2 linked regions of the Drosophila melanogaster genome follow. The protein of the gene in region 1 interacts with the protein of each later gene in a pairwise test. Each region holds a gene or a part of one and is shown in the gene's direction. Other genes may lie near its edges.

Evidence for each region.
Region 2: the proteins of CG15330 (region 1) and CG4546 interact in a two-hybrid assay, tested with the Drosophila melanogaster proteins (one large-scale study listed by BioGRID).

The regions. Positions count from the first base shown.
Region 1 is NC_004354.4:7,952,609-7,958,613, forward strand, and holds CG15330 (uncharacterized protein), read left to right. Parts: upstream 1-3,455; 5' UTR 3,456-3,513; coding exon 3,514-4,059; 3' UTR 4,060-4,094; downstream 4,095-6,005. Other genes in the region: CG15332 (uncharacterized protein), read right to left, coding at 1,336-3,026, 3,163-3,187; sws (swiss cheese), read right to left, coding at 4,810-5,190, 5,258-5,602, 5,663-5,874.
Region 2 is NT_033777.3:15,843,187-15,850,079, forward strand, and holds CG4546 (uncharacterized protein), read left to right. Parts: upstream 1-3,347; 5' UTR 3,348-3,593; coding exon 3,594-3,602; intron 3,603-3,668; coding exon 3,669-3,919; intron 3,920-3,983; coding exon 3,984-5,097; 3' UTR 5,098-5,245; downstream 5,246-6,893. Other genes in the region: spn-E (spindle E), read left to right, coding at 1-268, 329-450, 512-724, 788-920; cv-d (crossveinless d), read right to left, coding at 1,338-1,578, 1,636-2,234, 2,319-2,498, 2,558-2,701, 5,246-5,473, 5,532-5,658, 5,714-5,829, 5,953-6,455 and 2 more.

The DNA.
Region 1 (6,005 bases):
GATGCAAAGGGATACGAAATACCGACAACTATACTATTGTTTGTTGTCAACTTTTTAAGTGAGAAACGCATAATACACCTTATACAGAAGATCACATAATCTTGCGATCGACAACAATATTTAACAACCAATTATAAATTACAAATATTATTACCCACCCACTTGCTGGGCAAAGACGACGCGAAAACAGCCTGGATAAAACGGAGATGGTGCATCGCGCGGGTCTTCAGTTGCGTTCTACCTAAACTAAGTCTTAAGTCCTTAACTTTATAGATTTTTTTTTTTAGGGAAAGAAAGGCAAGAAGGCAAATAACAAATTACGAGTAACAAATAACACGATACTACACAATATAAAATTGCCTACATTGGACTCATGAGTTTGTGCATGTAAAAAATGAAAAAAAGATTATATAGTTAATATATACAAATACAATATACACTACAGTTAATTGCAACATAAACGAAAAATGATACAAAAAAAAAAAAAAAAACAATAAACGAAAAGCGAATTGTGAAATGCATAGAAACTAGTTTGCATGCCCCATTATACATAAATATTATGTAATTAAGAAGCATAAGAAAAAAGATGATTGAAAGAACGAGAAGGGTAATCAATCTGAATTGGAAACGCTAGGATCATCGGATGTGAATTTGTTATTAGTTTTTACAAATTGTGTGTTATTTAGGCGGCGCTTCAAGGGAACTTCGATATTGTTTGAGCGCATATGTTTATTTTGAACGATCAAATTGAGCCACTGCAAAGACTAGCTAATATTTCAATATCTAGAAGTATATACATACATATATATAATAGGTTTTTCAAGCAAATTCAAAATTGTTGAAGATAGTATCTTCGGCAAAAAAAAACCTGGTTGTCTAGTAATTGGTATAAATTTCCATCAAGTTATAGAAAAATTGCATGTGCGTTACACGAAAAGACATGGAAGAATTGCTACGAATTGTAAATACACTGAAAACGAAGCTGCATCTTGTATAATTAAATATTAATATATCACAGTTTTATCTTTTTTTTTTTTTTACTAGTTATACAAATCTAGATGTTTTGGTTGGCCTCCTAGACTAACTAAATTCAATTCTGCAAAACAAACAAACAAGAAAAACACATGATTTAAGAGATTAAATGGCACAGCACAGCAATACACAATACACACTCAATACACACAATACACACACAGCCCCTAGTACTCTAGTACACCCAAAAAAGATAATGTAAACGTGCATTCTGAGTGACAAACCGAAAACCCTTAATAAAATTAAAAAAAAAACCATTACAACATTATATGTAATCAAAATACAAACATTGGAATAATGCATCTAGAAGTTCACTGTGCATTCGCAGCACTTGCGGATTGGCTGACGCAGAGCCAGCATGAGATCACGCTCCATCCTGTATATGTGATCCCGCATCAAGTCGTCGGTGTTGGATCGAATCTCGCCGCGATTCTCTAAGACCTCGCGCAGCTGGTCCAAGGCGAGTTCGGTATCGACCCCGGGCACTGGGTTCTCCTCGCCCAGCATACTCAATTCGGCGACGGTCAATTCGGCAATGGCATGAGACATAACATCAATGTCGCTATCAATCTTAAAGCACGAGAGGCATTTCTTCTTATTGGCCACATCTTCGCCTTCATCCTCCGGTTCAGGTTCCGGTTCCGGTTCCAGTTCGGGAAATTGAGACTGATAGTCTGCTGTATTTATTCCATCATCTCGAGTATCTGTGATTTTACTGGCACATTCCTTGGTCACCTTCGCAATGCATCCATCTTCAGAGGCCTCTTCGTAGCTTTCCACACTGTAAGCACCCGCTGGAGGCGTCGGTTTGTCCGATTCCATTACCAAGAAGCCCTTGGTGGAGGTTATGTGCCTACTAAGCCCCCCGAGAGTTTCAAGCGTTAAACTTGCAATGGACTTGGCACTTTCGCGGGCTTTCTTGTCAAAATTCATTCTGATTTCCTCTATCATATCGGTGCACTCACCATCGCGGGAGTATTTGCCCACAAACAGAGGTGGTGTAATGGTACAGTTGTGCTGCTGTTGCGGAGTGCCGAATCGACCTATCCGTTTAATGAACCACAGCTCCGAAAGACTTCCCGGCTTGAAGACGCAGCAGGCTTCGAATCCCTTGGGCATGAAACGCTTGGGCAGAAAGATTGGACGATTGACGCCCTCACAAATGGGAAAGACATCGGTGGGCAGGTCGAACGTGGGGCACTCCTCCTCATCACACATGGTGGCGAATGCCACAGATGGAACATGCGGATTGTTAACGGTGGACAGAATGGACACCGTAATGTTCAACTGGTGCGGCATAAGCATCAGGACTTTGGACAAATCCGGGGTATAAATGTTGTCCTGCGCCTGGACACAAGGATATGGATAGGGCGACGGTAGACGCATTGTTGCCGGCAAACTGTAGGCCACCGACAAGGTGAAGTCAGGGCGAAGCATTAGCTCCTCGGTTATATCATCATCGTAATGATGATCGGTGGCATGCATCTCATACACGAATGCGTCCTCTCCTTCCGGATTGTCGTACATGTCCAGGAAACTATCGATCATCGACGCCAGGCTGATATTCATGCTGCGCAGACCGACGAACAGCGGCGGCATTGGGCCCTCATGTTCCGTCCTAATCAGATCAACGGGATAGCAATCACGTGGAAGTACACCCGGCCCAAAAACCCCACCGGCTTCGAAGCCCATGGGCAACATAACCGTGGGCATAAAGACGATCTTATCTATCGGAGCGTTATCCGGGAAAAGGGAAGCCGGCAAATCGAAGCAGGGCGCCTGGAAGCCCTCAAAATATTCGGCTGACTGCTGATCGTGCTTATGGACATCGGGATACAGGCGGGCCATCACAATTCTGTTGGGGCTCTTGAAGAACATCTTCGGCATGACCAGATTGAACAGATAGGGCAAGTAATCGGCCTTCTTCAACTCTGTCACCTGGTTTTCGTCGCGATTCGCGGAAGCCACTTGCACCATTTCGGCCCTCGGTATGCCTGCAATGCCAATTGAATTTGAACGTTTAGAGGCATGAATAACTTATTAATTATTATTATTTTTTTTTTGATTTGACAGTTGAGATTATCAAACGAAGAAAAAAGCAAAGAAAAACAGGCTATTTTGTGTTCTTACCTCCCTTTTTTCCCCGTTTAGCCATTTTGATTTTCCTTATTGGTCCACAACACTAAGAAGCACTTAAATTAACAAAGTATCAAATTAAAAGTTCACAAAAGTTCGAAGTCAGCCGGTCAGCAATTCAGAGTTTCTATTATTCAGAGTTCTGCAAACGTGAAAACTCACTTCAATACTGAAAGTTCGCCTCCGTTTTTAGTGAGGTTAACTTGACAGTTGCCCCAACACCAATACAAATGCCTACACGGATCCCTGGACTATGGCTATCAAAATTATAGAATTGCCACCTTTTTGGTTAGTAGAAAATATTACAAAAAAAAAATATTGAAATTGGAAAAAAAATTCAACAAAATGGACGTTGCAACAACACTTTGGCGCTTGCAGCAGGCGCATCAGCGGCAACTTAACGAGTGGGACAGGATTGGTAGACGCCTCAAGCGGCTGACGGGCAAGAGGTCCAGCGACTTGCTCATCCACGATCCGCTCCTGCAGCCACCGTTCGTCGCCCATCCTGGCCAACGGATGAGCGGTGGTGGTCAGCAGACGCCGATGCCGTTGCCAATGGCCAGGAAGCAGACAACGCAGATCAGACGCAATCATCCGAATAAATCGGTTAAATTCAAAGCATCCAATAATAACACCTTGGATCTACTTGTCGTGGGTCAACAGCTGCAAATGCATCGTCCACCTGGACGACGGCATGTGCAGCTCCACAGTCCCATGTCCTCTCAGCCCCGCCAGCATATCGAAGAGTATGTCTATTTCTATCCGGTCCACTACCATGAGACGGACCACTGGCCACCACACGGCCAGCCGGAACCAAATCTTGTGGTGGATGCACGATTTGTGGCCGAGCTACTGGATGAGCTGCTGCTGCCTGCAGGCAATCGTATTTGATTTGTGCTTCGTTCAAATAAAAAAGAAACATTGCGAAAAAAATTTGAATTTTTCAACGGTCTTGTTTTTTCTCATACCTTTCGTAAAAACGAAATATGATTTCATTTCATATTTTAAAATTAACAATTGAACATACATAAAAAGAGCAAAATCTGTTTGTACTCCCTTTTTAAATTTATTTGTTTGCATTTACAAAAAAAATCCGACCATTAAACAAAAGATTTGTTGCCTAAAATAATAGAGAGACTACACGAGTGTGCGGCAATTTTGGGGCTAAATTTTGTGTTGAGGGGGATTCATTGCGAAGGAGTCTCAATTTCGGTACTACAATATCGGTTGCTTCAGTAAAAATATATAACTATATGTATATACAAAGTTTGTGGACTTCTTGTGCCTTCCATTACAATGTGTGTGGATTGGTTAGGTGAATGAGAGGGATGGGATGCAGGATTGTGGGTTAATCGTTTCATACGCTAAGCTAAGCCTAAGTCTTGGTTGCTATAAAACCTATAGGTTAACAATTTTCCTTGTCATTGCTATATTTTACTTCGTTTCGTTGGAGATTTGATGATTGAGTAGTTGCGGTTGCTTTCTTGGTGAAGTGGGGGGGGCGGGCGGTTACCTTGTGCCGTTGGGCGTCTGGCAAGCGAAAGGCACCTCGTCCTCGGCTTGTTAATGCTTCTTGTTGAGTATATAGCCACGCTTCGAATTTGCATTGTATTTGTAATTGTTTTGTTTGTCCATATATAGCTAGTTTTTGGTTTCGTTATTCGGGCTACTTCTGTTCTCTTTGTTCTCCTCCTTGTCTTTATCCACCAGCTGCTCAGCCGTAGCTCCCTGATCCTGTTGCTCCTGCTGGAGTTCCTGCTCCTGACCGGTTTGTGTTTTTGTGGCTTCAGTGGCTCCGCTGCCAGTCTCATCCTTGTGCTTCACACCCCAATGCCAATTAGACATATGTCTAGCCTCTTCCTTGCCGCGCATGTCCGACCTGCTGTTACTCGGCGGCGACGACTGTGTGGACTTGTCCGTCTTGCGCTCCAGCTTCAGGTCAAGCTCCACGTCCGAGTCCATTTCCGTTTCGGAAAAGGATAACGAGTTGCCAGCGCGCGACACCTGGATGCGACGCCGATCCTGTGCGAAATAATTATTTAGTAAAAGTATACATAGATAGATATTGCAATGTTACCGGATCACCTACCGTATTCAGTGTGGTCGGCTCCGAAATGTAGCCATCACAGTCTTCGTCCTCGCTAAAGAGTTCCGCGGTATTCACGGCGTATGTCTCCGGCAGACGGCACACGATCTGCGCCAGATCGATGAACGTGTACTCGTTGAGGGAGGCATGGTTAACCCGCTTGGGTGGCTCTTTGTTGAACCACTGATTGAAGCGGCCCAATCGACCAGCCTTGGCCATGCTCTCAAAGTAGTTTTTGCCAAACACATAGCCCACGTCTCGAATTTCGTCGAAGCTGCCGAAGGCTAGAGTCTTGTACTTATCGATCGGCGGTCGGATATACTCGCAGTAGTCGGAGTTTTTGACCTCCTGCAGAAAAAAATATGTTAATTGCGTTTTAAGTTCGATTTCATGGAATAACGTATGTACCTCTAGTTGGCGTACGCAGGACACATAGGCTAGTCGGGATTGGATGTCCGGCAAGTCGGGCACCTTCACAGGCGATGTGAAGGGATTCCATTTCTTGTAGAGCAGCCACCAACCGCTTAGGTCGTCGCCATAGTTGGTCAGGTCAGTGTCATCCTGGGATCCCACATCGATGGCGATTATGTGAGCAGCTCCAAGATTATGCATCACATCGGCTAAATGGTGGCCAAGGAAATAAAATGGCCAGCATGCGGGTGGTGATTTAGTTGGTCGATGTGTAGGATATGTTGTGAATGCAATACAAATGTTCAATTAGTTGTGCTTATTGGTTTTACGGTATTGAAAA
Region 2 (6,893 bases), on another chromosome or scaffold:
AGTGGCCCACGAAATCGCGGAGAGTAGAAACGGGCAGACACTGACAGCCCGTGGAACCACCCTGATGCCCAATGTGCAGGGATTCGGTGCTCTAATGGTTATGCTATTTAGTCCCACTATGCAACTTAAATGCAATAAAGAAGGCACATCATATGTCTCTGTTCTGGGAGGATTGGGTTGTGACCCGGACACAAACGAGCCCTACTTCGCAGAGCATGACGTGTTGATTAATCTGGATGTCAACATTCTCGAAGATGATGTGATTTTGGTGAGCACGCATAGTACGAATATATACAGAATTGCATTAATTTTCTGATATTTATTTTAGATTAATCAAATTCGCTACTATATAGATAGTGTCTTCTTCAACTTTAAGGAAGAAAACAATCCAGCTGTTAGCGTAAATGAACGTGTTTCTATATACACTCAGCTGCGTAGCCTTATAAATAGGTAAGATTGCTGCGCTTAAAGTCATGCTAATTAAATGATTTCACTAAATTTGATTTCGCAGGCTCCTTTGCAAGGATCGTAGATATATCGAAAGAAATATGAGCAATGCGGATTTTGAATGGGAAACCAATCCCGAACTACCACTGCCGAATGAACCTTTTGGCAAGAGGGCCATATTTCCGATGCACTCACTTACTGAGCTCCAAGAGGAAGACACGGGTCGCTTGGTGCAACTGAGAGAGAACTGCAGCATGTTGCACAAATGGCGCAACTTGTAAGACTGGTGCTTGTTTACAAGAATATATTGCATTACTTATATTTTAACTTATATTTTTAGCGAAGGCACTTTACCCCATATGACTTGCAAACTGTGCAATCAGTTGTTGGAATCGGTTCCCCAGCTCCGTTTGCATCTCCTGACCATATTGCATCGTGATCGTGAAAAGCAAATCGACTATTGCAACCAATAAGAATGGTTACATCGTTTAATATGAAAACAGCTGATTTTGAACTTTTTGATTTCTCATTTCTTTTCTTAAAGGACACACTTCACTTGTTTGGTTTAAAAAAATGACGTATTCATGGAATGAAAACAAGTTTTGAATTGAATCTAAACCTACAGAAATCTTCATTACGTTAAATATTTTCTATGTTATGTTGAATGATCTCTCTTCGTTCAATTACGAAGTGTAAAATGTGAAATATAATTTTTTGTTAATTACATCTTTAAAGATATCATTAAATACGAAGACAGCTATACTAACCAGTTCATTACAAGCAAAAATCCATAAACTGCTTGCTGTTTATAAAAATCAAAGCCCTGGGGCGTGCATGTTCTCCCTTTTTGGGCTCTTTTTTTTATTTTAGATTAAACTCACACATTATATTTATGCAACTACAACTACATCGGAGGAATTCTGCAGCGGCACAGGAGTTGGAGTGTTTGCCTCCAGCTCGCAGATCGTATAATTCTGCATGCGGTTTAGGGGCTTGCTGCACAGCCCACACATCTGGTGCTTATACACGCCGTATATCTCGAAATTCAGGATGTTGTACAGATCGAACTGGATGGTGGAGGACAGCTGCGTACACTCCACAATTAAAATATTTTGCTCGTTAAGTTCCACGCTGAAAGGGCATATGGCGTTTATAAAATTGTATATAAAAGCTAAAAAGCATTCTTACCGGAAGTCGTAGTCACTAGTCTCAATTGGCCATTGATATGGCTTTTTGCGCACGTTGTGCGGTGTTTGATCCTGGTTAAGATATATGAGCACTGGTTCATCCGTGGGCAGGCTGCTGTTGTCTGTGCGGGCGCGGAAGTTGAAGTAGTTTTGCCCGATATGGACTCGTAATCCATAGTTGGTGGACAGTCCTTGAACAGGCGAAGGCGTAACAAACACTGCAATCTGTGGCAATGGCGAACAGTCAGCCACCAGCAGCGTGAGACAGTCGGGACGCACCGCAATCTCTCTGAGATTGATTAGGTAATCATCGAAGGTATTGACTATGCCATTGATTACTGAGCAGGAGCGCTTAAGTCCTGAGTCGAAGGTAAGCTCGTGGGAAGCGTCGAACTTCGAGTCCAGCTTGTAGAAGAAGGGGATCTGATGGAAACGCCACTTCACTCCGTTGACCTCCACAGCCAGCCTGAACTGGTCCTGAGGAGTTTGCATTGATATATTTATCTCCTGGCTCATATGCAGACTGTCCACCTTGTCGGCGGATAAGGCGGACACTAAGTGGTCCAGTCGATTCGACCACAGCTCGAACCAGGCGGGCATCTTAAAAAATATAAAGGTGAGTTGATTGGTCTTTTATATATCTTTTCGGAGCGGAAAGTAATTTGATATATCTGATATACTTACATTGTCAAACTTCAGGTCCATGTCGTATTGTGTGATCGAGGTGAAGTTCTCAAAGTTGCTACGCTTGCAATACCTGGAAGTGGGTATGGGCGAGAACTTCAGTACCTCCTTGGGACAGAAGTCGGTGTCCGTCAGCGAGATCTTGTCGGAGCGGAGGAAGGCACGGGCATGCTCCGAGGGCTGGCGAGATGAAAACGTTGGGTTAAAAGAGAATCCACTTCGGGCTTATGTACACTTACACCAGCTCTAGCTGCAAACTGCACCGTGGAACCCTTCTCCGGGCACTCGCTCTCCTCGGTGGCCAGGCCAAACACCACATCGCCATTCAGAGTGTGAGGTCGCTTGGTAAACACCAGCGGTTCATAGGTCAACTTGGTGCAGGCCTAAGGAAAATTATGCAAATGAGTGAGAAAATCCTGTATCCTTAAGTGAAACACCATGTGTTTTTTTTAATGCTTTTTAAAATAAACCTAAAATCTGTCAACTTGATTTTCCAATTATGAAATATGGAATACAATTTAATTTCCTAGCCGGTGGTTCTTCACACAGTATGTCCCAGTAGGTCAATAGCCAGCTATGCTCGGCACGAGTCAAGTGCTCCTTTTGGGTGGCGGGTGTGACACCCTGTAAGTATTATGTAGTTACACTGCTTTCCTCAAGCGTGGAGGCAAGAAAATGTGGGGTTCAGCTGTTCGCTGAAGCTCCAGGCGAGTGGAGTGGGCCACATTACCATGACGAAACAGCAGACAACGGAGCCACAACAACTGCAGCAACGATTAGCGAACCCACACACATCCTGACTGTATGATTGTATGGCCCTCTTCCGCCCCACCGTTCGTGCCTGCGTGCCACCTTACTACACACACACACACACACGCAACCCATCCTTTCAAGCACTCAAGCAGTCGCCGCAATTGTTGGCCCACATTCGTGGGTTGTTTGCGTCCCGGAATCGAGACCGAGAACCGAGTCTGGCAACCGGACTAGAGTAAAGCAGGCCTGGCGGTGTAAGTAGCCCCGTTTGATCAATACGACTCGGTGGGAGCTCAGTAGAAGGCATCCAGTTACGCTACTGTTCAGACGAATTTCTCCTGTCGTAAATTTGTTTTGGGAAAAAATTACATTTTCTTTTATTTTGTAAGAACGCTGTAAAAATCTGGAAAAAAGACCCAGTGCTCTCGACCTATTTTATTTCGGTACCGCCATCGGGAGCATTCAGTTGCGTTGCTTTTATAAATTTATGTTTACTTGATTCTCGGTCGGACAAACTGCAAAATGACTTCGGTAAGTGATATATAAGAAGCATAATAGATATGGATTCTTATGTAGCCACTTTACCTGCTTCTCCAGATCGAGTCAAAACGCGTCCAATATCGAAAGTATTTGGAACGCGCCGGAGTCATCGATGCCTTAAGCAAGGCTCTGATTAAGCTTTACGAAGAGCAGAATAAGCCGGAGGATGCCATTCGCTTTGTACGCAAGTTTATGTGCGAGAGCTGCCCGGACGATGCCCAGTACGATGTAATGAAGAACGACCTCGAGGAGGCCAAGACCCACATCTCGAAACTGGAGCAGGAGCTTGAACGGCTACGCGGACAAATGTGAGTTTCTAAGATCGCGTCTTGTCTGTCCAGTCTTGATTTAGATTCTATTTACACTCAATAGCAAAAAGTCACCGGAGGAGTACCAGGAGCTCACTACTGAGGGCTACAAATCGCTCATGGATGATGAGGAGAACGTGAGCTCACTGCTGCGCAAATACCTGACTCCGGAATTGCTGGAGGAGTACATGCTGGTCACCACACCTGCGCCGGTGGATGCCTACCTATACGATTGCGCCGTCTCCGGATTCGAGCACCACGACGCGCCCGTGGGCATTTTCGCGGCAGATGCTGACAGCTATGACGTGTTCAACAAACTCTTTGATCCGATCATAAAGGACTATCATGGCCAGATGGACAACGAGAACGATGTGCTGCAGAAAGACCCAGACTTTGGCAACGTGGACGAGATCGAGAACTTGGATCCGGAGCGCAAGTACATTCTGTCCGCACGAATCAGATTGGCTCGCAATATCGAAGGTCTGCCCTTCTTCCCCAAACTGACCGAGAAGCAATTCATAGAGGTGGAGGAGAAGGTGCGTTCGGCCACGGAGACAATGGATGGCGAGCTGATTGGCTCCTATCTGACAATGGCGGACATCGATGCTGAGACCCAGGCGGAGATGGTCAAGAGACATATATTATTCCAGCGCGGCGATGAGAAGCTGACCACAGCCGGCTGCTATCGTTTCTGGCCAACTGGTCGTGGTGTCTACCACAATCCCGCCGAGACCTTCTTGATCTGGGTGAATCGCCAGGACCATGTGCACATTATGTCCATGGCACAGTGCGGCGACTTGGGCGATGTTTACAATCGCCTTGTCAACGGTCTAACCGAACTGGAGAAGACGTTGGCCTTTGCCCGGCATCCGCGTTATGGAAACCTTACGGCTTGCCCCACCAATTTGGGCACCACCCTGCGGGCTTCGGTGCACATCCGTCTGCCGCTACTCAGCAAGGACCCCGATCGTCTACTCGCCCTCGCCGAGGAACAGCAGCTGCAGGTACGCGGCACCGATGGCGGCGAGCTGTCCACCGTGGAAGATGGTGTCATGGACATATCAAATAAGAGGAAGCTTGGTTTCACCGAGTTCGAACTGGTCAAAACTCTGCAGGATGGCGTTGTGACCCTGATTAACGCAGAGGAAGAGCTCGAAATATCCGGACAGGAGGGTTAGAAACAAATAGCCAATACTTAAAAACCTTGTAAAGCAATTAATATCACTATAAAGTACTCACGAACACTCACAGACGAACACTTAGAGAAACAGGAGAAACGTATCTTTGGTTAAATAAATTTGTCCCTAGCCACAGACAATCACTCACCTTCCAGTCGTCCTCGTCATCCTTTGAATTTCGCTGAACCTGGCCGGTCAGCTTGAACCAATTGGACTTGGTCGATGCCAGCACGTCCAGGGTAATGTTCCATCTATGAAGTGCATCCGCAGCATGATTTTCGTTCATGTGGTCCGTGTGCTCCAATGTAAGGCCGATCTGCTTGCCTTTCATGTCCGACGTTTTCAAAACGTCTTCGGCACAAAAGTTACCTTCGATCTGAACGAAAATTGGTTTTAGCTTTAAATATTGTTAAATATTTAATTTTATTTCTCACCCTGGTGTTCTTCTCGTTGTACATAAGCATGGTAAAGTTGCGATCGTGGCCCAGGTGTATGGAACTTAGCTGGGTGAAGCCAAATATGTACATCAAAGCATTGACCACCATATTGCCGGAGAACCCACTGGAAGTGAAGTGATTAGCTGAGTAGCAAATCGGTTTCGAAATTCAAAAATTACTTCTCCGTGAACTCGGACTTTAGCAGCATCCCCCTGTACTTGATGAGCTCGTTGAGATTGGTGGTCATGCTCAGTCGGACGCCCAAATCCGTCATTGGGTAGCTAAATAGTTGAACCTGCGAGCTTGACTTTATTATTATTCTTAATTTTACCCATTTTCAGATGCTTAAAGTAGTTAATTAAATTTAGTTAATTTATTTCATATATTTTGGTATTATTTTTCTCAACAAAACACTTACCACATCGTTCCGACCCTCGGGCACCATGATCTCTTCGAAGGGCGCCGCCGCTGTCTTCGTGATCAAACCCCTGGTCTTGGTCACCGCCCGCGACTTGAAGGACAGGCCACTGGTCAGGTTTTGGGGTCGGGAGAAGGAGTAGCGCCTGCACTTACTGCCACTCTCGTTCAGATGCAGTTCGCTGCTAAAGGGGATGTAGATGAGGAAGCCCTGCTCCCGGTTGATCTCGTGATCGAGGTTGAGGAACGGATTGTAGCTACGACTCCGCACCGAGGCGTATGAAGAGTATCGGGCATCGATTTCCAGCGTGTGCTTGGTTATGGGCGAGTTCCGCTGCTCTGTTATATTACCACGCAACGAGGTTAGTACGGTGGTCTGCAGCAGGACGTCGGAGGAGGTTCCCAGCACCGTGGGCACCGTGTAGCGATTCATGAAAGGCCAACGAACAGTCTGCATGTTTATGTGACTGTCTGTCCGAATGATTTGCTGCATTCTTTCCAGAACTGTGGAAAACGGGCATGAACCGCACATGGCTGATGGTCAAGAGGTCAATGTACTCACTGTTGTCGTAGGTCAGCTGCCGGAACATCCGCTGGTTGAGGTAGTACGACAGCACCGTCTTGCCCTCCATTTGCAGGATGAACTCCAGATGCAGGTCCTTCGAGTTGATGATCGGAGCCTGCAGCATGGCCAATAGAGCCTTGATGCTCTTAAAGGTAAAAGGATCGCTGCCATTTCGCGATTGCATCTTGTTCAGGATGGTATCTGGCAGCCCACGTGCCTTGATGTATAGCTGGAAGAAGTAGAGATGGCTTATTTGATTCTTGAAACACCGAGAGGTTGTACTTACCGCCAGTTGTCCTGTGAATTTGCCTAGAGCTTCGGTGTCGAATTTGAAGAAGGCCACCACTGGCATGTCCGACTTTGGATCGCCCACGAGG